4 linked regions of the Alligator mississippiensis genome follow. The protein of the gene in region 4 purifies or fractionates together with the protein of the main gene of each other region. This does not show direct contact. Links are inferred from orthologs where the notes say so. Each region holds a gene or a part of one and is shown on either strand. Other genes may lie near its edges.

Region 1 (6,735 bases), about 11 Mb from region 4:
AGGGTCCGAAAGCCAAGCCCCTGCCTCCACATCAGCTGGGGAGAGGTAGCCCTGCCTCAGGCAGCCAGACCCCAGGGGCCAGTCTCACCTCCTCCCCCTCCCAGCTTAACAGCGCCACCTGCTGGAACCAGCTGGCAGAGCCACTCCGTGTCCTGGAGACTTCCCCTTGGGGGCATCCGGGGACAAAGGGGCACTGCTGCTGCCAGCCCAGGCTCTTGGAGGGGACAGCATCAAGTCCCTGAGACTCAGGCAGTAATACTGAAGCTGGCGGGTGTCACAACCCCCATGGCTACAGGAGAAACCCTGCGGCCAGGCCAGCTCCGAGGGACAGCTGCAGTTCTGGCTGGGCCGGAAGACTTTGGGGTTGTGGAGTGGGGGCTGAAGGGGCAACACTTGCCTCATGGGGGCCAGATCCAGTGTTCAGGTGGGAGGTCAGGAGCTTGGGACTCGGCCAGGACCCAGAGCCGCCCCCACGGAGCAAGGCAAGGACACCGGCACTGGCCCAGCTGCCGCGTCACTACTGCAATTTTATTATTGCATCAGTTTTAAAAATGAAAGGAGGCGGCGGGCGCGGAGCAACAAGAACACAAGACATTGGAGGGGTGGAAGGGTGGGGGGCAGGGTCAGGCTCCGCCCCCCGGCCCCCAATACAATAACCGAGGACGGAGAAGTCAGAGAGGGGCCAGCTCTAGCGCAGAGAGAGGCAGGAGAATTGTTCTTAAAAATCAGACAGCACCCAAGAGAGCCGCGCCAGGCCCTTGCACCCGCACCCGCCAGGGGAGCCTGCCCCCACGCCACCAGGCCGGGCTGGGCCCTGTGGCCCTACAAGTCCAGCTCCAAGTCCTCGAGCTCCTCCTCCAGCGCTTTCCGCCGTGCCAGCTTCTCCAGCTGCTCCCGGCTTGGCTGCTTGATCTCCCCAGAGTCCACACGCTGCTGCAGCTCCTCCACCTGCCGCAGCTTCTTCCGCAGGTTTTTGATCTTCTTCGTCTTCTCCGCCACGGCGGCTAAGGCCTCCCCGTCCCCGGGGGCCTTGGCACCGCAGGCCAGCGGCTGTGGTGGGGCAGGTAGGCCCCGGTCCCCAGCACCACCCCCCGAGAGTGTGGTCTTCTCCAGCACCTGGATCAGTTCATCTGTGTCCTTCTCCCCTTTCTCCTGCTGCTGCTTCCTCTTCTCCTTGCGCTTCAGGTTCCTCTTGGCCGTCTTAGAGAGCCCAACCTCGCCGCTCTCGGCCCGTGGCGCCGGCCGCCCGGGCTGCGCGTTGGCCTCGGGGCTCAGCCCGGGAGGCAGCTCGGGTTTGCTCTTGAAGAATTTCACATACTTGTTCTCGTACCTGTGCAGAATAAAACCCATCAATGCTCTGCTTCCCTCCGCTGCTGCGTGGCCCCAGCTTGACTAGGGCTGTGTCTGCCGGAGGGTGGCTCTCAGTGCCCACAGGCTCGTGGTGGGCAGCGGCTGGCGGTGACAACTAAACACCAGCCAATTCCAGCCTGAAGCAGGAGCTGCACCTGCAGCAAATCAGCTCTGCACGTCAACACCACTCAGAGCACCCCCGCTCCACACCGAGTCCCCACCAGCCCCCCACCAAGGCCAAGCAAGCTATTGGGAATGGCTCTGGGAATAACCCTCCTGCCTGGCCGGCCCCGCAGAAGGGGCAGTGCCAAGCACCGGCCCCAGGACCTGAGCCCTTTGGGGGATGCGGGCACAGGCAGCCCCCGCGGGTGGCTCCGCACAGCCGAGCCCCCATGAAACAGAGCTCCAGCCCTGGGTGCTGGCGCCGACACGGGCACAGGCCAGGGAGGACGACACCTGGGGCCTTGCCTACGGGCCGAAGCCGGTGGAGCTTGCGCAGACAAACCCGACGCCTGTTTGGAACTGGGCTCAACCACAATCAGGGCCCGCGAGAGATGTGCCAGGTGCGGGGAGCAGAGCCGGGCTCTACTTACACGGGCACCTCCTCCTGCGGCACGTAGCCCTCCTTCACCCGCCGCTGCTTCCGCCAGGTGCCATCCGGGCGCTGCGTGGACGCGATGTACTTCCCTGCGCGTCGGGACACGTGTTACTGGGGGGGGGGGCCCAGCCCCAAAGCAGCTCATGGGAGCCCTGCAGCCCCCCCACCCCCCCCAGCCTGGGCAACTCCCTCTAGCCAGTGTCCCCCCCCAGCCCCAGATCACAGTTCTGCTTCCCTGCAAGGGTTGAGGGGAGGGGGGGGTCACAGGGTGACGACCGGGAGCTGGGGGGGGTCACACATCACAGGGAGCCAAGACAAGGGAGTCACAGGGGCAAGTTGGGGGAGGCCCACAAAGGTCAAAGGAGGGCCAGGCTGGGATGGGGAGCACGGGTCGGGGGGGCAGGCTGGGGGGGGGGGGGGGCCAATACCACCCACTGGAGGCCGGGGGGGCGAGGGCTTGGCTGGGGGCGGGGCTCGCACAGCGCGGGGGCGGGGCCAGGCGAAGGGGCGGGGCCCACCGCGCCCGGGGGCGGGGCCAGGCGGGCAGTGCAGCTGGGAGTGCCGTGCGGCCCGGGAGGCGGGCGGGACCTGTGGGGGGGCCGCGCCTCGCGCACTCACCGGTCTCGTCCGTCACATAGGGAGTCGCCATCTTGGAAACGCGACCCACTTCCGGCCGCGCGGCCCCGCCCCGGAAGCGGCAGAAGTGGGTGGGGCGAAGGGGGGAGATAGGCTGGGAAGTGGGTGGCCATTTTGTTTTTAAAGGGCCAGGGGCGTGTTCGGGGGCTCCCCGCGCTCGGGCACTGCGGGGCGGGGCCTCCGCGAGCCTCCAGAGGGGTTCCCAGAATGCACTAGGGCCTAAGCTAACCCCCCCCCGAAACACCAGCCCCCCTACATAGCCTTGTGGGTCTCCGTGGCAACCATGCCCCCACCCCCAGAAAGCCCAGGTGGGGAGGGTCAAGGGTCAGGGGTCCCCGGCTGGCAGGGGCAGGCAGTGGGAGGCCACCGGCGACCCCTGACCCTCAGGCCCTGGGGACCCGCTCTAAGAGGTCCCCATGGCAGCCCGGGGGCTCCCCAGGGAGTCCTGCCCCAGGTGGGGGTCGGGGGTCAATGGCTGCTTCCCAAACTCTGCCCCTGCCAGCCAGCAACCTCTGGCCCTTGACCCCCCACCTGGAGCAGGACTCCCTGGGGAGCCCCCGGGCTGCCATGGGGACCCCTTAGAGCGGGTCCCCAGGGCCTGGGGGTCAGGGGTCGCCGGTGGCCTCCCACTGCCTGCCCCTGCCAGCTGGGGACCCCTGACCCTTGACCCCACAGGCCCCTAGCTGCCATGGGGAGACCCTAGGGCAGGGGTGGGCAAAATGTGGCCTGGAGGCTGGATGTGGCCCGCCGGGTTATTCTATCCAGCCCACAGGGCCCCTAAAAAGTTTAGAAAATTAATATTTATCTGCCCTGGGCTGCCTGTCGATGGCTTGCCAAAACTCAGTAGGCAGCCCTCTGCCCAAAATAATTGCCCGGGCATGGCAATCAAGCGGCTCCGCGCGTGGCCTGGGCAGCCCTTGAGGCCAGGCCGGGGGCTTCTGCCTGCCTCACCAGGCAAGGCAGGTCTTGACCCTGGGGCCAAGGCCATGGCCCCTGCCCCGGAGCGTGACCCTGGCGAGGCCCAGCAGCCTCCCAGCTGCCGTGACTGCAAGTGCAGGCGGATGCTGCGCTCCTGCTCCCTGCGGGCAGGCGCAGCCCTGCGGCAGCTGGGCAGGAAGCGCTGAGTAGAGCCGGGCGCTGGAGGAAAAGGCTGTTTCCCCTGCCCTGGCACAGAGCTATCGAGCTGTGCTGCTCTCGCGGAGGCCAGCCTGCCTGGCCTTACCGGCGCCCGGCATTTAGCAGGCCCTGACAAGCTGCCCAGACGCCGAGCGCTCCCAGAGCAGCCAGGGCGGTCGTGTGGCCCCCATCACCCCTCCAGTGCAGTGGAGCTGCGGCAGCTGATCCTTATCAACTGAGACTTGAGGTTTACCAGGCAAGTGCCCGGCGGGCAGGGAACCCCGGAGCTGCGACCGCTGATGTGGGCGAGAGATGCCGGGGGGAAGCCGTTGTGGCCAGGGAGGTGCCGCATGGGGAAAGCCTGTGTCCCCAGGGAGGTCAAGTGCCCTCCCTGCCCTCCTGCAGATGCCCTGGGGCGGATCCGTGTCATACAAGGGTTCGGGGGGGGGGCAGGGCAGCCCCCCTGGTCAGCGGGGAGCAGAGTGCCCTGGGCAGTGGCAGGTCCCTGCTGCAGCCCCAGGCAGCCAGAGTCCCCCCAGGGCTGCTCTAGTTTGCACCAAGGACAGCGCCAGGCCAGGACAGGGTCCAGCCCCATGTACAAGCGCAGCTCTGGGAACAGGCACCAGCTTCACAGAGGTTGCAGCCTCCTTTGGCCACGTCAGCACCAGGGGAAGTGCCGTGTGCCAGGGGAAGGCTCAGCCCTGCGGTCAACGCTAAAGGGCCGTGGTTAGTCTGGAAGCAGGCAAAGAGAAAGTGGCCACTTGGGAGGGAAACAGGCTACGGGTCTGTGTCTGTGGCTGGCGCTGGGGAAGGTGCCAACCTCCTGGATGCCCAGCCAGACAAGGCCGGCACATGCTCTGTCTCATGACTGCTGTGTTGGGCCTTGCAGCCCAGGCTAGGGTCCAGACTCGGGGGTGCTACTCTGGCTACAGCAGAAGGGGCAGAGCCAAGCCTCTGGGCTGCTCCCCCCAGCTCCTCGAGGAGCCTGGACCCCCGGCTGGCACGCAGGATTCCTGGGTTCTTTGCCTGGTAGACGCGGGGCTGCCCTGTATCATGGCCCCTGTACCACCAGGAGCACAGGGAGGGTCTCCTGGAGTGGAAGGGTCCGAGTTGTCCCTTGGCTCTCCGTGGTCCATGCATGGGCATGCATGTTTGTGCACATGCACACGTGTGCAAGGAGTGGGCTGCCAAACCAGGCAGGGGCCCCAACCCCCTCTTCTCCAAGGATGCAGTGCCCCCTCCATGAGCACAGTGCTCCCAGTCCCCATTGACTTTCCTGCCCCATCTCCTTGGGCCCCCCCACCCTGCCCTGGGCTGGCATCCATGGAACGGCACTGCCAGTCTGTGCTGGCGCCTTGCCCCGCGGTGGCGCTGATTCACCCCGGTGCTGGGCAGCCAGGCTGGACTGGGAGCTGAGAGCTGGGAGCTGAGCAGGTGGGACATGTACACGTGCACGCTCTTACACGTGTATGCATACATGAACATGCACACTTGCATGCATGCATACATATATATACATGCGCACATGTACAGATGCATGCACTTGTGCATGTCCACATGTGCAAACATGTGCACACATACACTCACAGGTACACATGCATGTACATGTGTGTATACTTCCACGCACGTTCGTACATGCACACACACTACACTGACATGTACAAACATATGCACACACTCACATGCACAAGCTCACATGAACTCGCACACATGCACTTACATGTACACACATGCACAACACCCGTACATGCACATGCCCACACACCAACACATGCTGACATGTACATGCACACATACAGTCACATATACACAGGTGCACACGCTCACATGCACAGGCACGCGCTCACACATACCTGCACACACACACTAGCATGCACACACGCAGAGCTGTGCAGCCCCGCGGCAGACGCCCACACAGTGCCTGGTGCCCCGGGAGCTGGGGCCCGGGCTCTGCAGCAGCCTTTGTTGCTCTGTGGCTTCCGGCTCCGCGGGCACCTCCAGGGGCAGTATGCCCGGCGGGGAGGGGAGGGAGGCGGGCAGCCCCTCCCCCGCCACCCTTGCCAGAGGAGGCCTGGGCCGGTCCCTGCCTGCCTCTGGGAGGGGCTGCGGCTGGGGCTGGGGCTGGGGCTGCGGCGCGTCGTTCGTAGCTGCTGCGGAGATGAGACGAGGCGGCGCTCGCACCTCTCGCCCACGCAGCCCCGCGCAGCTGCAGCCAGGGAAATTCCGGGCGCCAAGGCCGCCCCCGGGCCCTGCCATGGGCGGGGGTACCTCGGCCTCCGGGACCCGGTGTGGCCTCCCTGCCACCACCTGGGCCTGGGAGAGAGAGACCTATGCCGTGGCCCTGGTGCTGGGGACACAGGTCACAGCCTGGCCCTTGGGTGGCACAAACCTGGCAGGTCTCAGTCCAGGTGCCAGCAGGGCCTGAGCCCCCACCCCTTCTCACAACTGCCCCTCCTGCCATGGGGGCCACATGGGGGCAGGAGGGAAGGAGGCGCCACAGGGCCCATGGCGTTCGCTGCCTCCAGCTCTGCTGTCTTGCCGCCCGCGTGCGGAGCCGCCCTGGCCTGCCGGGGCCTGTGCGGGGGCCCAGCTGCGCCAGCCTGGCTCTGAGCCGCCGAGGTGTGCCAGCAGGCAGTGCCGGAGAATGCACACTCACATGGGCATGCACACGCTGATCCAGGCGTGGCACGTACACTAATCCAGGTGTGGCACACACATGCTCACACCATACAAGCAGATCCTACGATGACAGGCTGAGAGCCCTGGGGCTCTTTAGCCTGGAAAAGCGCAGGCTCAGGGGTGATCTGATGGCCACCTATAAGTTTATCAGGGGTGACCACCAGTATCTGGGGGAACGTTTGTTCACCAGAGCGCCCCAAGGGATGACGACTAGGTCGAATGGTCATAAACTACTACAAGACCGTTTCCGGCTGGACATAAGGAAGAATTTCTTTACTGTCCGAGCCCCCAAGGTCTGGAACAGCCTGCCACCGGAGGTGGTTCAAGCGCCCACATTGAACACCTTCAAGAGCAAA
Region 2 (7,251 bases), on a different chromosome or scaffold from region 4:
ATTTACAATATGAAAAATATTTGGCTGGTGTCCCGTAGTACAGCCAGCCCACACACTCAGTCAGGGAGCGTTTCACTGCCCTACACAGGGAACGAGGCAAGAATGACTTTGCCAAATGCTCTGCCAGCACTAGGTGTGTAGGCAGCTCCTCGGGACAACACTGCCAGAACCCTGATCTCACTCCCATTCGCCCCTCTAAACAAAGGCAGGTTTCCTTCCTTCCCAAACTGATCCCTATTGAAAGGGACTAGGACTAGAAGGTGACAAGGAGTCAGAGAATGACTGAAAACAGAAGCAGAAGCTGAGAAGGAAATACAGAGCAGTGCAACAGCATCACATACGTCTTAAGTTCCTTTGAGGGCAATGCCCAGTTGTTTCTGCAGCCTCCACGTCTAATACAAAAACATCGGGCCAGCAACTTTGGAGTATTTCCTCTTTTTTCAGAATATTCACAAGTTGCCCTACTGGCTTTCCTAGAATGTCAAATGTTTTGCAGAACGTCGCCTAAAAGCACTGCATGCTGGGTTTCTTTTTTAAAATATGCTGTGCTATGCCATTCCCTCTTCTGGTTGAAGAGACCCCTTTGGTTTGTCACTGCCCCGAAATATTTTCCCCTGCTAAAAAACACTTTCTGAAACACTCAACTCGTAGCTGCAGAGCCTTGCGGTTTCTTTGAGGAATCCCTGTTCTTGTGCCTTCTGCAATTGTCTCCAGTTAGAATTATTTCATTTCTGTGCTACAACCTTCAGACAAAACCCGTATCTTGGCAATCAGAAATAAATGCATGTAGATCATAACCTTTTTTGGACCAAAGGCTTCTTTTTCCCCTTTTGATCTGGTGTTTGGACAATGGACATTCTAGTCCATGGCTAGATCGCTATGTACCAATGCCATAAAGACATGCAGCGTACCTGGGACTCCAACATCAACTTGGACAAATGCTTTTTCTCTTCGGTTGTAAATGCTTCTTGTTTTAGCTCCTCAAACCTTTTAGCAAACCAGTGTCTCTCCTCTGGGCTTGGCAGCTGGCTCGTCTCTATAGAAATGTGCCCGCAGTATACGTGATCAAGGTAAGCCAGCACATCCTCTAGGGACACTTCTTCCTTCCCCATGTTCAGAAGTCCTGGTCAAAAAGAGATTGGAAGGCCCATAGGGATTAGCCACTCTAATGGCTAGCAGTCTAAGGACACTGCTAACTAGGAACTACAGTTTGAAAGCACAGTTTCACTTTCTGCCCCTCTGTTCTTCATTTGAAGCCCAAGGTCTCAAGAAACTTCAGAATTACCATTCCTAATACTTGGGACTTAGATGGTACTTTTCATTCTCCTTTGCAGTGTTTGAAATATTACTCCAAACTCTTCCAGGGCAGGGTCTGGGTTTTGGCATCTTGTGTTTGTACTGTACCGAGCATTGTGAAGCTCAGAGATGATCAAGGTCCTTTGACATTCATTTGTATTGTGCAATGCTAATTTCCCAGATGGACAGACAAGACATGCAGAAGTTCTGGGAGTTGCTCAAGACCATGTTAAGTTAGTGGACAGAGCTAGGAATAGAAGTCAGATCTCATGACTTCCACTCCAGTACCGCAGTCACTGCTGTAATACTGTACTATCATTAAGTAACCTGGGTAGCTATCTGAACAGTTACAGGGAATACTTACGTGATTTCAGGAAACATGATAACCTAAGTTTGCAGATGTCATAGACAGAATAAAAGAATGTAAATAGTGTAAAATCAGTCAAGAGAAATTATTTTTCATTTGGCATTACATCACTGAACAGCTACCTAACACATGGCTATGCCATTCAGGACAGAGCACGTAATCAGTCTGTTGTGGTGAGATTGCTATATTACCTCATGCTCATTTAGCAGCAGAGAAGAGAAAATTCAATGGTTTTATTTGACAGATTTCAAACATAACTCAAGTGAGCTGGGCACTGGAACCTGTCTACCCACACAATGCTGTGCCCCATGAAGATACCCGACCTAACTTGGGACACTGCATTATGCTGGGGAGACGTGCTCTGTGGTACAGACTTACCTGTGATGTTGAAAGGCCCTTGAAGAACTTCCAACAGCATTCGAATTTCAGGTACCATATCCAACACCGCTTGACCAGCAAACAAAGGGTTAATTTTGGCGGCTTTGTGGCCGTGCTCATGGTACGCCCCTACTAAACGGGCAAGACCGTGGTCAACTAAAGGTACAAAAGGGAAAAAAACAGAGAACGCTGTTAGCACGTACACTCTTCACTCATTCACCCTTGAGACGATGCTGCATCTTCCCCCACTGACATGCATCCAAAATGCCAAGATCACTTCCTGAGCTCAGCTCTTTAACCCATATCACTATTCTTCATTCACCCCCTCCACTTCTTCCCCATAGACACACACTTATGGCTTGTCTTCGCTTTCAAGGTGCTTCACAACCTGTCTTCACCCCATCTATCCTCTCCCATTGAATATGGAGAAGGTGACTCCCGCCTCCACCCGCCTCACTGTGCTCACCTCGCATGCCCAACTCAATAGATTTCCATGCTTTATCACATAGTACACCAAAGGGGGACTCCCATTAAATATCTGAAAAGCCACCTTGTTCCCTTATTTCAAATCTCTCCAGCTATGATGAGCACAAGAAACTCAACATGAGACCCCTGATGCGCAGTGACCCCTGCCCATCATGCTGAGCAGTACCACCTCACTGCTCCCAGCGGCTGCCTGCATCCCTCTGTCGTCCCCTGTAAACTTTCTGAGGCCGGGACCATACGGCTGCATGTTTCCTAACACCAGTCCCCACAGAAGCACCTTCTAGAGCAGGGGTAGGCAACCCCTGGCACGGGCACCAGAGTGTGGCATGCAAAGGCATTTTGCTTAGCACGTGCACCTCAGGGCAGAGAGTGGGGAAGGAGCCAGGGCTGCGCTGCCACAAGTGGACATAGTCATCTGCTTGCATTCTCCATCTGGGGACAGAGATATGCCTGTACCCTCTGGGCCATGTCTCTCCAGCCCTACGCAAATGTGACTGGCTGGGGGCTGTGAAGGGTAGACATAGATGAACCACCCAGGGTGAGGAGTTAATCACCTCACTTGCACAATCCCTCTCACTCCGCACGTGTTGCATGACTACATCACCCCAGCACTTAGCTCCGGGATCACCACCAAGGGGGACCCAAGCTGCAGCCAGCCCACGCGTCTCCAAGACGCTGCTTAGGGTTTTGCTTTGTTTTGAAGTCCCAAGCACCAGGGGCAGAGGAAACCTCAGGGGCCTGTGCTCTTCTGGCAGCAAATCATCACAGATTCACAGAAGTTTAGAGCTAGAAGGGACCTTGTGAGCTCATCCTGCTCTGGGCAGGAAAGACTGCTGGGGTCAAATAACCCCCGCCGGAGCAGCTGTGCTTGCAGTGGGGCCTGGCAACCCCGTCTGGTGCCCAGCGCATATCAGTCTGATGTCTGTCCCTGCCACCGGTCCAGCTGCAGCAGAGCCTCTCACAGCCCCCCGCCTTCTGCCCCGGGCACGCCAGCGTCCTACAAGTCCAAGCTGCAGGTGTTTTAGGCACTCTGCCCAAAAACGTTGCTGAGCTCAGCCACCTTATCCCTTCCCCGGGGCAACAGGTGCCAGGCACCCCGGCTCCGCGTGGAGGTCAGGGCTCAGCCCAGCTGGCCCCGGCCATCACCCACCAGCCACTCCGGGGCTTTGGACTTTGAACCCTGATGTCACCAGCCATGCTGCGCACCCAGACCCCCATCACCAAGGCAGCCGGGACGCACTGACCCCCCCACCCCGGCAGACACACAGACCCAGACCCCCCCCAGACAGACAGACAGGCAGACCCCCCCAGACAGACGGACCGGCCCCTGTCGCCCTATCTGGGCGGGCGGCGCGGGCGCTGTCGGGGCGGCGCGGGCGGTAGCCGTAGACGCCGCGCTCGGTGCGGTAGCAGCGCCCCGGGGCCCCCAGCGCCGCGCGCCACGGCCCGGCCCGACCCGCCGCCGCCAGGGCCATCGCGCTGCGCTCCGCTCCGCTCCGCTCCACGCCGCCAGAGGGCGGGGCCGGACAACGCCCCCAGCTCGGATTGGACCGCCCGCTCGGGGGCGGGGCCGAGCGGGGCGGCCCCGCCCCCTGCTGGGGGAGACGGCGGGCGGGCGGGCGGGCGAGGAGACGTGGGGTGTCGCCCCCTCCCTGCGCTGGGCCAAATAAACAGTGATTTGAGGACCAGGTTGCAAGGGTTTGGGCGTGAGGTGGGGCCTTGCTAGGCTCAGTCAACTGCTGGTTTATATGGAAACCACCTGAAATGTATCATCACCCCGACAGGCCAAGATGAGGAGAAAACGTACCTGGTTAGTCAGCTGTGGGAAACGTAGCCCAGAACTATAGGTTAGCCCTCAGGTGAGGTGAAGTAACAACAAAAGGTCTGTTTTGTAGCATCCGAGCTTTCCTCGGCTTTGGCTTCTTCCCCCTTGGTGCGCGCGCTGGGCGGGATGATGTCTTGAGGACCGTATCCTTTCTACTGGGCTGAATAGTGGTGCCGGGATGAAGTAAGCCAAGACAATCCAATTGTTGCATCTAAAACTGATGGTAATTTGGGGCCAGGAGGCGATGCTCCTGGGTTTCTGGCACATCGCACGTCCCCTTTATATTTCTCCATCTGTAAAATTCGGATAATTTGTCCTCGATGCTGCCTTGCTTGTGTTCGCCCCTACTCTGATAGCGGTATAGCTGCTGAGAGATTTGTCCGCTGTATTTGCGGCGAGAACGCTAGGTGATTGATTATCTGTTGTCTCCCTCCGCTTTTTGAGCAGGTACTTTGCTGCTTTCTCTTCTTCCTATTAATTTCCAGGTGTTTTTGGTATCCACTTTAAGTGGAAATGGATTATTTAAACAACTCCTAGTCTCAGTGATGACTTCTAAAATGTACTTGAAATGTTTAAAAATGATAGATGCCAAATGATAGATGCCATTTTCTTAATTAAGAATGTTTCATCCAACATGAACAATTCTATTTTGACACGCGTCTGCACAGATGAATGGAAGTGGTCAGAGAATTCACAGTTAATGGCTATTTAGGTGCAAGCGATCATTGCTTTATTCCATTTATTATGCATAATCATAATAAATACCCAACCAGCAAGGTATATACTTGGTGCTTCAAAAAGGCAAATATCACCCATTTGAAAACAATTTTGAACTAGATGAGCCATGAACAAGAATTTGAACAGAAAAACTTGACCGATCGTTTAAAATGAAGAACTAGATGTCCAGTAGTTACAATCCAGAAAGAATGCTATGCTCATTAAAACATGCCTGACTTACAGGGAAAAGAAATAGAAAAACAAGGCAAAGTTTTCTCTCTGATTTTGTAAAATGCATTTTCTATTTTTATGAGATTACAAGTTTGTTTAATGAACTTTACATGTACTCAGGCCAGTTCCATACGACAAGGTTTTCCTGGCACAGAAATGTTGCACGAAACTAAAAGTTACATCTCCTAATTGATAAAACTAAGTCAGTAAAACCCTTGATACAGATGTAACTATGCCTACAAAAGAGTGCTTATCTTGGCTTGGCTTATTTTATGTACACAGGAAGAAGGTATAGATATGTTAGCAGAAAACCTCTGTGTCCTCAAGGTGGCTCTGCAGACAGAGCTATGCTGGCACAGCTGTAGAGGCGGAAGCTCTTTAAGTACAGAGAAGCCCTTAAAGTTTTGTAGGGCATTTGACTTGGTAACGCATGACATTTTTCTTTAAGAAACCAGAGCACTACAAAATCAATGTGGCGCATATTACATTGATTAAAAATGGCTAACTAGTTATTCTCAAAAATAAAATTAAATCATCAGGTGGGTGTATTCCTGATGAAGGCTTGCACAGATGAGATTTTGGCTAACTAATATTTTATCACTAACTGGGAAGGAAACATAAAATAATTACTAATAAAGTTGAAGTGAGTGGTAAAGAATGAAAAGGACAGGTCACCCTGGATCTGGATCTCTTGCCATGCTGGATGCAAGCAAACAATATTAACAGAGTCAAATGTCAGATCAGGCACCTAGGAACAGAGAGCTCAAGTCAGAAAAGTGGGAAGATCCTAGCTTTATCCTAAGAAGCAGTGGCTCTGAAAAGGACTTGGGTGTTACAATAGATAATCAGCTGAACAAGAACCCTTTGTAGTATGTTTTTGATAAAAAGGCTATGCATTTTGTGTGTACACGAGAATATAGAATAGGAGGGGAAGGTTACAGTAGCTCTGTATTTGGCAGTGGGGGTGTCTCTTGGTGGCGTCTCCTGAGACCAGATCTTGTGTTTACACTTCAAGAAGGGCATTGAAAAATTGGAGACTATTCAGAGGAGACCCACAAGGATGATTAGATGATTAAATATACTTTCTGGTGAGAAACTAAAAAAGAGCTTGATTTATGCAGTTTCTGAAAGGGAAAGTTATGACTTGATCACAATACATACAGCACCTGCATTGAAACAAAGGACTGCAAGGACTTTCTAGAGCAGAGACCAGTCCCTGTGTTTGCAGGCAACCATTTATCAAAAATGGACACTTCTGCCCTTCTTACACACCACAAGAACCCTATGAAATAAAAAGTAACAACAGACCCAAGTAAAGAGCAGGAGAGACAAAGGAACCACCCTGATACTGCATTGGCAGAAAATTAGTTGGGTAAAAAGATGCTCAGATGATCCTCTCAAAAGGTTCAAGGCCTGCGCCACAGACAAGGGCAGGAGAACCACAGTGGTCCTGGCCAATCTGACCTGGGAGAAAATTGCTGCCTGCCCCCAAATCTGGCAATATTTGACTCATGCATGATCCAGGCACATCAAATAGACACTTAAAGGCTTATAAATACTCCTAGTTTCTGGAGCACCAGATCACCCTAGCCAGATCCTCACCCTTTGCAGTGGCCCAGGTGCAGTGCTTCAGAGGAAGACAAATAAACTAGTAGAAGCTAGTAACGTGTTCATAGGGAAAAAAGTTCCTCTTGGCTCCCAGCCATCAACCAGCAGAAGCCTTAAGTCCAGGGGCAGGCAAGATATGGCCCACGGGCCAGATCTGGGAGCACAGAGCCTGCCCGGCCCAATGGCACATAGACTGGGAATTTATCTTGAGTTATTACAATCACCTCTATACACACGATGCAAACATGTGCAAGTCAGGACAAAAATATTTTTCAAAATAAAATTAAAATGTGTTATGGTAGATGTTTGAGTTTTAGTATATGGTGTGGGGTTTTTTCCAGTT
Region 3 (7,165 bases), on a different chromosome or scaffold from region 4:
GGGTCGAGCAATATAATAAGAATCATGATGCTTTGTCTGCCACTCACTCTGCAACTCTGCAAGTTTTTAAGCTCTATGATAACCATGTTTATCTATCAGCAAAATAGGTACACAAAGCCAAAGTTCATGAAGCCCTCTCTTAAAGCAAAGGTTTCTTCCATCTGGCTACGCTAAACTTCTATTTTAAGATTACTGGTTTGCTTTCATGGAAAAACAGAAACAAGTGAGATGATACAGATCACACAGAGCTCTCAGGCAATTGAAAAAAAATTGGCAACATATGGCTTTTGGGAATATTTTTTATGTTAGCACTTCTCCAATACTAACTGGAGAGCCAACAATAGAAATCTTGTTCTGGCTGGTAATCCAAGCTATTTCTGGGGAGCTCATTAGCATAGTATCTAAGCAGCAGGGATACAAAAGATCTTATACAATCTCTTAAGAGAAACATTAGTTTTCTTTCTTGGGACCGATTCAAATTAATAGGATATTAACAGGACATTTTAAGCAGCTTTCAATGGCATGAACTAAAATACAACTCAGTACGTTAGCAAATGCTTAAGCAAGAATTGCCCTGATTGATATAATTTCAGGATAGATTTGCCTTGAAAATCTCTGAAAACTGATTAAAAAGTCAAACTTTTCTCATTATACAGAATCACCTCTCTTTCCCCACAGTTATTAATGTTGCATATCATTAAGGAATATAACAAAGTAGGAAGATTTTTTTCCTTGATAATTTAACATTAAATGTCTAAATGAACTGCAAGCATCCAACGCAAAGAAGGTAGTGACTAGGAACTAGAAAAGTTTTTCAATCCTAAACACGAACTTCTGGGTTTTCCCACTGCAACACGAGACTATAACTCACGCATCAGCACTGCTGTTGCAGGGGTTCAAATTTTGCAGTGCTCTGAAGATATAAAGGCTTAAATGGTACTGGAGCACTACACAGATAAAAGGTGAAATGATGCATCATATGGAAGTGCCAGTGCTTTAAAATTATGTCACATAGCCAGGAGACCAGCTGCAAGTTTAAGCTGTAAATGGTCCACAAAATAATGCCCTTAGACAGCGCCAGCCAATGGAGCCCAGTATTCCTGCCAAACATTTGCTTTCCCTTGTCACTTGCACAATAAGAAAAATTCAGCTGACTTGATTCAAAGGGCATTGCGATGTGGAGTGGCACCACCGCAATTCCAATAAGAGTCTCCTTGTTTTTTGGCAAATGCAGAGAGCTTTTAGAAACAGTATTAGACATTCTTGGTGGAGTACAAAAGCTTTGCCCACAGCTAAATCTTTCACTATACAACCATAAAAAAAAGATGCCTGACTCAGGGTTTCCACAAAAAGCTTGTCTACTTTCTAGATTCTGTAAATTACAAATGCTGGAGTATAAAAGAGTCATTACAGCATGTGAAAAAGCTCTAGAATCTTATTGTCTTATCTCTGGCTGTTAAAAAGGGACTACGGGCCCCTGAAAGCCACCACCTTAGGAAGCATAGGAAAATGCTTCCTATTCAATTAAGTAATACAAAATTTTAAAAAGGGATCACACTTGACAATATTACCTTGGAGGTGACGTCTATTCCTGTAATGAAACTTCCAGCTTTGTTTTCGTATCTTCTGCTAGTGTCCTACAATAAAGCAAAATTACAACAAATGCTGGATGACGGCTAAACGCAGCAAGCTTGCTAAACTAATAAGATCTGACCTAGTAGTCAGCTCTGAAAGAAAAAACACATCCCTTTTTATTCTCCTGACTCCAAGCTAGTGCGGCATCAACCCACACAGGCACAATTCTCACCAGGGTCAATGGAGTTACAAGCAAACAGAACGGATCAAAAATCATTACACTTTTTTGCAAAGATTCACTCTATTTTAGCATCTTAGATATTTACTTTTAAAATATCTGCATTCACAAGGGTGGAATTCACTCTGCTACAGCAAGGAAGTGGAAGTGATTATGAAACATCTTTTCCGTCTCTAATTTCCATGATTTTTTTCCGCGGCATCTCAAGTACGGTTTCCACCCAATTCCAACCGCTCAAACGGGCTTCATGTAATCCGATTACATTAAAAAGGATACGTTTTCAGTACTTAGTTATCAAAGGGGAAAAAAAGTCATCACAAAGTCAACTTTTGCACTAAAACTAGCATTCATTCTCTTGCCACCGCTGCTTGAACCATGTTCCCCAAAACCTCAGCGTCAGTCACCGCCCCGCTTCTCTTCTGAACAAGCCTATTATGACCAAAGAAACCCATAAATGACACGGTGACCTGGAGGGGAAAAATAAAAAGGACTTTCATTCCTATCGGTTAGTAAAGCAGCATTCACAAAGCGCTGCGCTAACCCAGGGGTGGCAAGCCCTAGGGCATGCGGGCCACGAGGGACAAGGGCCGACCAGGGAGGGAGCAGGGAAGCCAGTGACAGGCAGGGCAGGGAGCAGAGCGCAGAGCCACAGATCAGGCAGCAAGCCCAGGGCAGGGAGCAGAGTGCAGATCAACAGGTAGGGCAGGAAGCAGAGTGCAGAGCAGCGGATCGGGCAGAGAACCCAGGGCAGGGAGCAGAGCAGCTGATTGGGCAGGAAGCCCAGGACAGGAAGCAGACAGCAGAGCAGCGGATCGGGCAGAGAGCAGAGCAGCTGATTGGGCGGGAAGCCCAGGGCAGGGAGCAGAGCGCAGAGCAGCTGATTGGGCAGGGGAAGGGGGTCAGTGACGCAGTGCCTCCCCCCGAGCACCGGCGACCCCGCCCCCCGGTCTCGAGGCGCGGACGAGTCCGCGGTGCCCCGGGAGGGGAGCGCAGCGCAGGCCGGAGCCCCCCGCCCCCCCCGCGGCCCGTACCGGGAGCAGCTCCCGCAGCGAGCGCCGCACGGGGATGGCCTCCAGCTCCCCCTCCTCCACCTCCATGGGCTCGGGCTCCGCGCCGCGCGCCTCCGCCTCCGCCTCCGCCGCCTTCACCGAGATCCGCAGGCCCCGCACGGCCGCCATCGCCCCGCCAGGCCCGCCCTCCGCTCACGGCCAGCGAGGCGCGCCGGCTAGAGCGTCGTCGCCGCCGGCCTCCAGGCACGCCGAGACGGGATTGGCGGACAGAGCGTCCCCCCGCCCCGCCACGAGCATAGAGGCGCGCGCTGTGGGGACAGAGCGTCCCCAGCGTCATAGAGGTCGGGGGATAGAGCGCCTCTGTAGGTCCTCCCGCCTGTGGTGCTCCCTGCGGCGGAGTGCAGGCGGCGCCTCGTTCCCGCCGCTCGGGCCCGTGTCTGCCCCCTCGCACTGACACGACTCAGGGCAGCGAGTCCAGGCTGCGCTCTAGTGTGGGGCGCCAACGCCTCGTTTCTTGGTGCTGCCCATTCCTCGCCGGCACCGAAGGCCGGAGCGGTTGAACCGAAGCACCTGCCGTTTCGAAGCCGAGTCCCGATTCTCGAACGACGATAAATCTCCGAATGTGCTCATCCCTTCCCCCCCCCGTGCGGTTGCGTGCGATGTGTCTTGCTGCATAGCTGGACTTTCCCCAACCTGCGCTAAAACTTCGGGAACTGAACCGAAGCCACGTGAAATCGATAAAACGACTCTCCTTGACTTCGACGGGCGTTCGATCGGGCCCCCGTCCAGACCCAAACCTGCTGAGCTCCCGCGTAGGAGACGCAGGTGCTTGAACACGCTCGAGGCCCCCCCAGTTTGTGCCTTGCACTCACGACCGTGCCGGGGAGCTCGACCTCGCACTCGCGACCATGCTGGGGAGCTCAACCTCGCACTCGCGACCATGCTGGGGGGCTCAACCTCGCACTCATGACCGTTCCGGGGAGCTCGATCTCGCACACACAACCATGCCAGGGAGTTCGACCTCGCACTCGCAACCGTGCTGGGGAGCTCAACTTCGCACTCGCGACCGTGCTGGGGGGCTCAACCTCGCACTCATGACCGTGCCGGGGAGCTCGATCTCTCACACACGACCATGCCAGGGAGTTCGACCTCGCACTCGCAGCCGTGCTGGGGAGCTCAACTTCGCACTCGCGACCATGCTGGGGGGCTCAACCTCGCACTCACGACCGTGCCGGGGAGCTCAATCTCAAACTCACGACCATGCCAGGGAGTTCGACCTTGCACTCACAACCGTGCTGGGGAGCTCAACCTCTCACTCGCAACCATGCTGGGGAGCTCGACCTTGCGTTCACAACCGTGCCGGGGAGCTCGATCTCGCACACACAACCATGCCAGGGAGTTCGACCTTGCACTCACAACCATGCTGGGGAGCTCAACCTCGCACTTGCAACTGTACTGGGGAGCTCGACCTCGCACTCACGACCATGCTGGGGAGCTCGACCTTGCACTCACGACCGTGCTGGGAAGCTCAACCTCACACTTGCAACCGTGCTGGGGAGATTGACCTCATACTCACGACCATGCTGGGGAGCTCGACCTCACACTCATGACCGTGCTGGGAAGCTCAACCTCGCACTTGCAACTGTGCTGGGGAGCTCGACCTCGCACTCACGACTGTGCTGGGGAGCTTGACCTCGCACTCATGACCATGCTGGGAAGCTCAGCCTCTCACTCACGACCGTGCTGGGGAGCTCAACCTTGCACTCGCAACCGTGCTGGGGAGCTCAGCGCTACGTGCTGCTGATTCAATGGTTCGGTCGTGCAGCTGCCGCCGAGATCGAATCGTGTTTTGCTCATGGCCTCAAGACCAGAAGGGTAGGAAAGCTGAGATCTTATTTTCCCTCCTCCTCCGTGAACTTTCACGCGCGTAACATTTCTGTTTCTTCTGACGCCCTGGAGATTTGTTTCTTCGGAAGCCCTTGCTCTTGCTCGTGTTGTGCGTTTTCATGCTTTCCGTGAGAGAGACCCACCGTGTCGGCCGACTGGCATGCGTGGAGTCTTTACAATTTATCCTGTGTGCATCGGGTTTGCAAACACGGCGTTCGTGCTTGCGTGTGGACTCCAGGCAGATTCTGCGTATGTGGTATCAGTACTGAATAAGTGACTGTAGGCCTTTGGAAAGGGAGGCTGCAATTTGTTTTTGTGTAAAGACTCCTGAGAAAGAACAGTTAAAAATATGAAGTCCAGAGCCGCTGGTAGCAAGATAGTTTATTTGACCACAGGAGAGCAGGAAGAAGTTTCTCATGGAGCTCATCAGCTCCATGATCTTCTGGCCTGAAAAGTGGCAGGGGTTCTTTATACCAGGGGCCTGTCTCTCCCTTTTCTGACTGTATTCCTGCTCTGTACATGGTCCGTTATCTCCCTCCGGGGAATTGTTACGCTCACTTCTGTTGTGTACTTGTTGGATGAGAGTCGCTGCTGAGCTCTGAATCACTGCTGTTTTGAGTTTTGATTCAGTTGTTCTTTGGCTTTTGCTTTAAATGAAAGGACCCCTATTTACATAATGGAAAGCTGCTGCATTCCCTGAGCTGGTTACAAGGCAGCGGCGTGACGGCATGCTGCTCCAGCCTGCAGAGTGAATAGAAATAAGCCACATGTTTCTGAACCGTGCCGAAACCTTGGGATCTTTTGCAAACCTCCTACCAGCCCGGGTCTAAACTGTTCCAAATTCACCAGGGTTTTGCAGCCGGGGTTTGGTTTGGATTTAGGGCACCTTTACCAGGAGTAGGCTAAGTCACACCTCTCTCCAACAACTGCCAGATACTTACTAGTATGTCACGTGTGTGTTCATTTGCTGGGGCGTGTTTAAGTGAATTGTTAGTGCATGAAACCTTGCTAAATGGCACTGAGTGGCTTCCCAGAATCTGGGATGTATTTGGTAGCCGTATTGGTGTGAGACAACCGAGTTGATCTAATAAAACTTATCCTTTCTGAACCAAGAGTTTTGCATTCCCAGACTCTGAACATTTTAACGAGGACTAAATTGAAAAAAAATTCTCCCATCTCTGTGTTTGTTACCTTTAAGGGTTTTGTTAAAGGGGAAACTAATAAAAACAACAACTGCTGCAAACCCAAAACTTGTCCTAAGAGGCTTTGACTTGTCTCCCTGCTTTTCTGTGTGCTCATGTGAGGAAGTGCTGGTGCTATAGTTTTTCACCAGAGGGAGCTCTTGCAATAAAATGTCTTTGCTACAGAATGAAAAGTAAAGTGTAATCTAAATGCCCAAAGCCTCAGGTATAGTGTCTGGATTAAGCTAAAAGCAGGGGGCAAAGGGAGCCATGGGGTAACAAAAGGAGTTTGAATGCACTTGATGGAAGGAGTCTTTTGGTAATGATCTGAATTGAGTTTCAGAGGTGAACAGTTTGGCTCTTGTGGCACAGAACATAAAGCTCCCGTGACTCCGTGACCAGAACAGGGACGTGTTAGTCACTGCAAGGCTGCTTTGTCGTCCTGCCTGGTCCTGATGACTCAGTGCAGGACCCTGGCATGGCTGCCCTTCAAATGCAGTGAATTGCACCAAGAATGAGCGCGGCTGCCGCTCAGACAGGCGTTTCTGCACTGGGAGGACAAACCAAAATGAAGTGGGCTGAAGGGTTTGGGAGCAGATATGGATCAGCTGCTACCTGGGCTGTACTCGTCCCACCCAAAGTAAGGCAACCTCTCTCAAAACTGAAAGAATGGCCGGCTCTCAGGAGGAAGGATGGTCTAGTGGGTAGGGACTTAGGCCACAAGAGAAGGCCCCGCTCTGTGACAGACTACTCATACCCACGCTACTCGGTACACCTGAGACAGTGAGCCTCAGCAGTGCAAGCTCATGGGTGGCTCTGTTTCCTCTTGGGAGTCGGTGCTGCGGCATGGGAGTGAGGACATGTGGCGTGGGTCACAGCAGTGCTCCTGGGTATGGCATTGGAGTAATATCCAAATGCCCTTGACCTCTCCACGTCTCATTTTCCACTGTGAAATGGGGATAAGAGCACTCCCCTACCTTCCATGGACGTTGTGATGGCGAGTATATTAAAGATTCAGCAATAGGGCAGCAGAAGTGCCTACAAGAGGTAGATGGATTTTTGGTTGTAGCCATGTTGGTCTAAGGACATAGGCAGGCAAGGTCCTTTGGGTAGATGTGATATCTTTTATTAGACCAGCTGAACAGCTGGGAAAAAAAGTTAGATTTACCTGTGACATGGCAAGAATTTGCATGTCAGCCTGTCCACGCAAACTTAACTTTCCAAGTTCGAGAGATGGAGACAGAAAGAGAGAGCTGAGGGAGAAATTAGATTAG
Region 4 (7,344 bases):
CAAAAGCCCCAAGGACACAGACGAACTGTGCCCGGACTCAGGTCCAAGCGAGAGAGGCAGAGACCTGATCTATCCCATTGAGTGTGTGCTCCCTGCTCCAGAGACAATCCTGGACCCATTTGGCTCCTGCTGGGCAACTTGATCCCCTGCCAGGATGTGGCCCCTTCTCACCTTCTCTTCCCTTTGGGTGGTCCCCGAACAAAGCACCAGTCCACGCTAATGGGCTGCCCCATCAGCTCCTGCCCGTTCAGCCCTTCCATGGCCGCCTGAGCCTCCTTGTAGGTCTCATACTCAACAAGTGTGTATCCCTGCAGGAGGCAAGGACAGTGGCATCAGCACCCAGTCACCCTCACTCCACGCTCACCTTGGCTCCCAGCAGTAGACCCCTGGGCTTCCAATTCCCACAACCCCTCTCCACTTGTTCACCAGTGTCAGGAATACAAGCCTGAAAGGCAAGGCTGCTGCCCTGCCCTGCCCTTCCAGCTATTGCCCTGAACTGAACTGCTCACTTGAACCAGGAGCTTCCCAGAGAGGTGGGGGACAGGGATCCATATTAGTACCCAACCCCTCTTCAAGGCTCTTTCTTAGTATGAAGCCTCCCTAGCACTTCTCTGTGATATGATCCCATCTGGGATTCAGCTGTGAAACCATAGGGATCTCACAGGGATCCCATGAAAGAAGCCAGGAGTCCCTTGCTGTTACCAGCAGCACCCACCGCACCTCAGGCTGAGATCAGAACCCCGGCATCCCTGTGCTCACACACAGTCTCCTCACCCTGCCCAGATCATTTGTATGAAACATTAAGGGGCAGCTGCCCGTTTAAGTGCAGCTTTGGCCTCCGTGTCCGAGGAAGCTGTGCACCTCAAAGGCCCACCGCCCCCACATCATACAGGCAAGAACCTGAAGCACAGAGATTAAACTATGTGGCACAGATACAGAGTCTGTGGCAGGGCAAAGACGTGACCACACCTGTCTAGAGACCCCAGCCAGCCCTCTCCCTACCAGCCCCCTACCTTCAGGTAGCCCGTCCGCCTGTCCAGGTTCAAGTGGATGTTCTTGATCTCGCCATACTCAGCAAATTTGTCGTGAATGTCCTCTTCTGTGGCTTCCTCGTGGACTCCCGTGACGAAGAGAATCCAGCCCTCCACCGCTGCGGGCAAAGGGAAGCAGCGCTCATTACCCAGATGCCTGGTCTGAGAGCCCTAGTGAACTTGCACGTGCACAGCTTCACAGCCACACCAAGGAAGGACATCCCTACTCCCACCACATCTCAGCCTGGGTAGCTTGTAATCTCCTATTGGCCTGAAGACTCTGGAGTGGAGCTATGGGAGGAGGAATGGAGGGGTAGTGAATGCAGGTGCTCGATGCCCCTGGCAACAGCAGTTCTTCATTTACTCCTTAATGAGGATGGCTGCAGAGCAGCAGGAAAAGTTTCTGCCCCCCAGACCCCTGCAATGAACCTGAATCCTAACCTAGAACAATCCCAACACCCCACGAGCACAGACAAGTTGCTCTGTGTGTGGTTGTATCAATGGTGACAGCAGCGATACCTGGCTCTCAGAGAATGCTTCTTATCTTTCACAACTTTACAAGGGAGGAAGCTGAGACACTAGGGTCACAGAACCAGCCAGTGGCAGCACTGCGAATAAAACCCACATCTCAGATTCACAGAAGTTCAGCGCTGAAAGGGACCTTGTGAGATCATCAGGTCTAGCCCCCCTGCTCTGGGCAGAAAAGACTGCTGGGGTAAAATAACCCCAGCAGTCCCTTGGTCCCTATCCAGCATTTTACCCACCGGACCCCACTTCAATGAAAGACTTGGCTCCGCCCTTCCTTAAAGCAACCTCGTGTGACACTTCACCCACCAAAGACCCCAGAACAAATCCCCAGCTGTACTCACATCTCTGAGGCCCCGGCTCGTCCCCGTCCTGCTCCACGCTGTCATAGTCCTCACGCACTCGGGCCCTGGAGCCTTCCTCTGGGCACAGGGGGAGAAAAGCAAAACGTGGATCATTTCAGACAACTAGTGACGGTTTCCTGCGCGACCACCCCACCACCAGACACCCGAGCTTGTAGACACCGGTTTTCAGACACCCTACCCCAAAGAGCCTGTAACAGTAGTGATGCAGACAAACATGTATTCATAGGATCATAGAAAATAAGGGCGGGAAGAGACCTCAGGAGATCACATCTAGTCCAACCCTGAGGTCATCTGATCCCAGCGGTCTTCGCTGCCCACGTGCAGGGGGGCTGGACCCGATCTGTAAGGTCCCTTCCAGCCCCTAACGACCGGGAAACCCCCTGCTCCAAGCAGGACCAAGGGCCGCGGGGCAGACAACCGAGTACCCTGCGCACGTTTGCTGCAGGTAGGGAAGGGTCTGGACAGCCGGACGCGGGAGACAGAGGGATCTGCTCACAGCTGAAAGGCCCCAGGCATCGCAACACCCCCGGCCCCTCCCCCGCTCTGCCCTGCCAGCAACAAGCGGACACCAGTCTGGAGGCTGCACTGGAGGCTCTGGGAGCACTGGGATCCCCGCGCGCAGACGGACAGAGCCGCGGGGGTTGCAGCCACGTCCTTACCTGAGCCGAAGCCTCTGCCTTTGCGCTTCTTGGCCTTCTCCTTCAGCTTGTGGATGCTTTCTGCGGGCAAGACCGGGCGGTCAGCGCGGGGGCCGGAGAGAACCAAACCGAGCCCCGCGGGCAGGAGACCGGGCGGGGCGGGGCGGGGCGGGGCCAGAACCGGCGGGAAAAGGCTTGAAGCGGGACCCAGAACCGGGACTAGGCCAGCCCCAGGCCGGGGGGCGGGGGAGGCCCGATGGGACCCGGAACCGGGGGGGACCGGCCAGAGGGGGGGGGGGGACATCCGGGTCACCCCGCGGTACCGTCACCATCCTCGTCCATGGCGAAGTCCTCGCCGCCCGCCTCGTGCAGATCCAACACGTCCGCCATCTTGCCGCGCTCCGCCGCCACCGCTGCCGACCAGAAGTTGCCCCGGTGCTGCAAGGCATGCCGGGAAGCAGGGCGGAAGTGTCCTCACCCTATGGACAGGAAACCCCTGCTAGGGGCCTCCATCTTGAGAAGGGAATGAGGCAGGGGAGAAGCGTGATGACGCAACGACGCTGCTAGGTGGCGAGCGCCGCCATTTGGAGAAGGGCGTCAGGCTGGCGGCGGGCGCCATCTTGGGGTCTCCATAGCAACCACTCAGGGCCCAGTTTAGGCCTTTTTGTCTCCCTTAGTGGTGGGTTCCCCTCCCTGCCTGAGACAGCCCAGCCACAGGCACGGCAGGGTGCCAGGCTCTGGCTGCACCCCTCAGGACCTGGCCTGCACCCTCCAATGGGGGGGATTAGCCCCTATTAGACAACAAGCTGCCCCCCCTACTGGGGTTGGCCCTAAACATGAGGCTCCTTTAAGAAAGCACCACCTCAGGGGAGCCCCTTGGTGCCCCCAGAGTCCCCTGAGCAAAGGGAGCCCAGCGTTCTAGTGGTGCCCCAAGGCGGCGAGTCTCAGCCGGGCTGGGGGCGCCACATCACCGTTCGCACAGTTAGGCGCGTCCTAGGACACAGCTGGAGATCTCCAATAGGAGGCCTGGGTCTGTCCCCCAATCTTGGATTCACTTGAGGGTTTCTCTGTAGTTGAAAAAACAAGTGAAAGCAGAGACGGCACTTTCTGAGGGGGCTTGGCGTCTAACGAGGGGAGAGGAGAGGATAAGCGCTGGTGAGCCGCCCGGTTCCCCAATGCCCCCGCGGGAGGCAGACGTGACAGTCAGTGCAGACAATTGTGCAAGACGGGACTCAGCCCTGTGACTTTTCCACCGTCGCAGCACAGAGATCTCACTCCTTTCCCCCCAAAGGTGGCAGGAGATCTCTGCGGCCTCTCCAAGCGATGTTTCGTGAAACCAGGCGGGTTCGGCAGGTCTGCATCTCAGCTGGCAGAGACGATGGTTGCAAAGCTCGCTCCTCGCACAACGCTGAGCGAGTGCAATGGGCGTAGCGAGGTGCCCGGACGAGAACAGGTGCCAGGTGGAGAAGCACTGGTCTAAGGGAAGGAAGATGAATCAAGTAATCCAGGCTCCAGGAGCCGGGGCTTGGGGATGGACAAAAACCCACATTGAGGAGGGCAGCACGAAGTTGCCACCCCCTCCCGACACCCAGAAAACAGCACGGTTGGACCGGGATCGAAGAGAGGATCCTTAACATAACTCCGGCAGCTTCTCCCCGTCCAGCGAGGAGGGTTGGCAGTCGTGGTGCTATCAAGGAAAGCTTCCCTTGAACAGGCTGGTCCTGGATGATCCCCCTACACAAGCAGTCTTCCTGGACAGGGATCACCACTACTTGTCGGATCGTAGAAAATGGGGGTTAGACCTCAGGAGGTCACATCTAATCCAACCTCCTGCTCCAAGCAGCTCCATCCCCAGCTAGATCAAGTAGGAAGGTTGTTCCTTCCTCCTTGCCTACCGGTTTCGTTGTAGGGGCACCTGTTTAGTGAGACCCCACAAACCCATTTCACCTGAGCCAGCCAACACTCATCCAAAGACAACATCCTCACCCCTATTTGCTGGGGGTAGAAATCGCCATCTATACTATGGCATCCAGTATGTTACTTTAGCCTTAGTCAGAATGGGTTGGGTTTTTTTTAAGCTCTTTTCCAAATGGAGAAGCATGGAGATCTCGTCGTAGCTATAAAATATGCGGGGGGAACTGCCAAGCGGCAATAATTTCTCAAGGAGCTTATGGATGCCAAGTGGTTTTGGACAGCAACTGCTTTGCGTGCGCAAGATGCTGTGTTTGCTAGTGAAACAGCCCAGTGCCATTCCCCCCCCACTTCAAGATTTTAAAAGAAGTCATGCTAGGTGGAAGAACAAAACTTTATGTTCCTTCTCATTTTATTTTTTGAAAAGGGTGGAAACTGTGTCTCTCACTTGGAGCAGCTCTTCATGTTCTTCTAGTCAGCAGGCAGGCACGTGAAATAGGCATTTCGTCCTGCCCACCCCCGAAAAAGAAGAAAAAAAAGAATGACACCATTTTATTCTGTATAGCGTCTTCTGCACATGTCCTTCCCGCAGGCCTTGGAGCGAAGGAGTTACAGCTAGAGTGTGAAACATGAGGCAAAGTGCAGAGCAGGTATGACCTGAAAAGAAAACAGCTTACACCCCCCCCACCCCCCAATCTGGCTCTTCATAATGCCTTCCAGCCCCCTTTATAAGCAGATGCTGCTACAGCTGTACTCAGTCACCGGTACCCATGAGCACAGCCATCTCCTTTTCCACCACTGCATCCTTATTCCTTCCAAGTCAGGCCAGAATTTCACTCTTCCCCTCTCAGGAGTCTCTGCTGGTTTCCCAAATTCAAGGCAGCAGAATCTCTCACGAGTGCTCTGCTTCTGCCTCAGTTGACAAGATTATTCCTTTATTTCTGTGCCTCAGCTTCCCCACCTTTCCTACAATCTGGGAGATGGTCCGATGGGAGCTACCAGTGCAGGAGCAAGCGTGAACAGCAGGACCAAACTGTTATTTTCAGCTAGCTCCGTGCTCAGCTGAAGAGGATTATAACGGGCTTCCGCTAATGGGAAATTTGGTTCTACAAACATCCGGCCGGTGCAGCTGTTCCTGTTCTTGTCCATTCAAACTGTGTACAGTACGCGACGTCTTCATCTCCCCTTCCGCAACGAAGAGGGAAGAGACCTATTTCTTTCCTTAAAGACCTGCCAGTCAGCATGCTACAAAGCAACTGTTGCCTTCCCCACCTCCAAGAGCTGGTAGCTCCGCTTTTCATAACAGTTTAAGGAGAGACAGCACATTCACCCAAAGGCAATACTGTTATTAGCCTTCCCATGCTGAAAAGCCTTTTAAAAGGAGTATTGGGAGGAACAGTGCAAGATCTGATCCTCACCCTTGCCTCCCCCCCACATTAGTTAAGGCAGCAAGGCAGAATTTGTGCAACATCAGCAGGGCTATGCTGCAAAAGATGGGTCAATAAATCCTGTCTGATATAACCAGATGCTGGGACCAGCAGGGACTAATTTGCAGGCAACTGTGGTAATTCTTAGGGAGAGAAGGGGTGGAGGGAGGCATTGTTCTCAGGTTTGTGATGCATCAAACAGCTAGTTCCCCCAGGAGAGGCCATAAACAGCAGCAGAGAAGCAGCTTAGGGCTGAGTGAGGGTAGCACCACATGGGCAGGTGTTTTCTCCATCAGCACAGGTGGTTTCTCCATTTCAGTTCCCTTTTCAGGTACAGGAAGGCTCCTGCAGGGGTTAGCAAAGAAAAGGCATGCCATCAGCACAGACAGGTTCAGTTCAGGCCAGCCTGCCTAAACCCCGGAGTAACAGACCAGAAACTAAGCAGCTTTTCATACCCGCCATGGCACACCTATATTTCAAGCAGGGAGGTGCCAATTTTGACACCAGCTATCCAGGGGTTTTTGTGAAAGCAACAGACACTCGTACGTTTTGTTACGAGGGATAGCAGCACATCAGAGCCAACAGCACACTGAACAGATCATCAGTCCTGCATCTCTCATTAGGAAAGGAAGAAAAAAGACAAACTACCCAAAAAATCTAGTGTTTTATTGTATAAAAATTATACATACAAAATGCACGTGTTGTACTGAACTTGGACATACAATGGAAGATGTGGTGGCAGTGCGTGAAAGGCAATTTATCTTGCTCTGGTTTTTGATTCAGACTCTATGCTGGGAAAATTGGAAGGGACTTTGGATGCCGAGAGCTAGGCTATTAACAGCACTGGAGCCGTGGGGATCTCCTGGCTGCTGATCCATCCCTTGAGACTCATGAGGTTCCAAGATCTGTTTTAATTAAAACAAGAGGAACAAAGTGTCAGATGCTCATTTATAATGAAGCTGAACTGGTCCTACCCAGGGAATCGTATTTTTGCAAGGAGAAAAAGGGCATGTAGTGTGGTCTGATATCTTCCCCCAGCTGGGAGTGCTGGCACAGGCAGATGCTAAGAGTCTGCCTGATTCAAGCCCTTGCTAAACAAAGACTGAACTAGCATTTGAGTCTCAGAAGAGGGAGTCACAGGCTGTTGAGGAGGCTCTATTTAAAGCCTACTCACACAACTGCCATGAGAGTTCAGTAGCCCATACAAAACTAATGATATCTTACTTGCCCGAGGAAGAGTCACTGCACAGAGGAGAATGCACATGCATTGCTCCATAAACAAGCTACTGTTTGTTGCATTTTTATATGCTGCTTCTACCACAGAGCTGTCTCATTAACGCAACTTGGCCTTTGAGCACAGAAAACTGACTGTTCGAGTGTATTTATTTCAAAAGATGGCCTGACTTCATTTTCACATGGCACCAGGAAGTGGTTACTACTCAGAATA

The links.
Region 1: the proteins of RBM8A (region 4) and PYM1 purify together in Homo sapiens (co-immunoprecipitation; 11 studies listed by BioGRID and IntAct, counting the BioPlex papers as one, with this or other methods). This does not show direct contact. The link is inferred for Alligator mississippiensis from reciprocal best matches to the Homo sapiens genes RBM8A and PYM1.
Region 2: the proteins of RBM8A (region 4) and UPF2 purify together in Homo sapiens (co-immunoprecipitation; 6 studies listed by BioGRID and IntAct, with this or other methods). This does not show direct contact. The link is inferred for Alligator mississippiensis from reciprocal best matches to the Homo sapiens genes RBM8A and UPF2.
Region 3: the proteins of RBM8A (region 4) and NCBP3 purify together in Homo sapiens (co-immunoprecipitation; 3 studies listed by BioGRID and IntAct, with this or other methods). This does not show direct contact. The link is inferred for Alligator mississippiensis from reciprocal best matches to the Homo sapiens genes RBM8A and NCBP3.

What each region holds. Positions count from the first base shown.
Region 1 is NC_081838.1:6,906,823-6,913,557, forward strand, and holds PYM1 (partner of Y14 and mago), read right to left. Parts: upstream 2,794-6,735; 5' UTR 2,598-2,793; coding exon 2,567-2,597; intron 2,038-2,566; coding exon 1,944-2,037; intron 1,331-1,943; coding exon 823-1,330; 3' UTR 508-822; downstream 1-507. UniProt on the Homo sapiens protein: Key regulator of the exon junction complex (EJC), a multiprotein complex that associates immediately upstream of the exon-exon junction on mRNAs and serves as a positional landmark for the intron exon structure of genes and directs post-transcriptional processes in the cytoplasm such as mRNA export, nonsense-mediated mRNA decay (NMD) or translation.
Region 2 is NC_081827.1:13,570,534-13,577,784, reverse strand, and holds the start of UPF2 (regulator of nonsense transcripts 2), read left to right. Parts: upstream 1-4,231; 5' UTR 4,232-4,386; intron 4,387-7,251. Other genes in the region: DHTKD1 (2-oxoadipate dehydrogenase complex component E1), read right to left, coding at 912-1,123, 2,042-2,197, 3,849-4,002. UniProt on the Homo sapiens protein: Involved in nonsense-mediated decay (NMD) of mRNAs containing premature stop codons by associating with the nuclear exon junction complex (EJC).
Region 3 is NC_081837.1:9,611,196-9,618,360, reverse strand, and holds the start of NCBP3 (nuclear cap-binding protein subunit 3), read right to left. Parts: upstream 3,019-7,165; 5' UTR 2,992-3,018; coding exon 2,845-2,991; intron 1,638-2,844; coding exon 1,572-1,637; intron 1-1,571. UniProt on the Homo sapiens protein: Associates with NCBP1/CBP80 to form an alternative cap-binding complex (CBC) which plays a key role in mRNA export. NCBP3 serves as adapter protein linking the capped RNAs (m7GpppG-capped RNA) to NCBP1/CBP80.
Region 4 is NC_081838.1:17,854,077-17,861,420, reverse strand, and holds the start of RBM8A (RNA-binding protein 8A), read right to left. Parts: upstream 3,017-7,344; 5' UTR 2,950-3,016; coding exon 2,883-2,949; intron 2,641-2,882; coding exon 2,581-2,640; intron 1,979-2,580; coding exon 1,901-1,978; intron 1,151-1,900; coding exon 1,014-1,150; intron 309-1,013; coding exon 172-308; intron 1-171.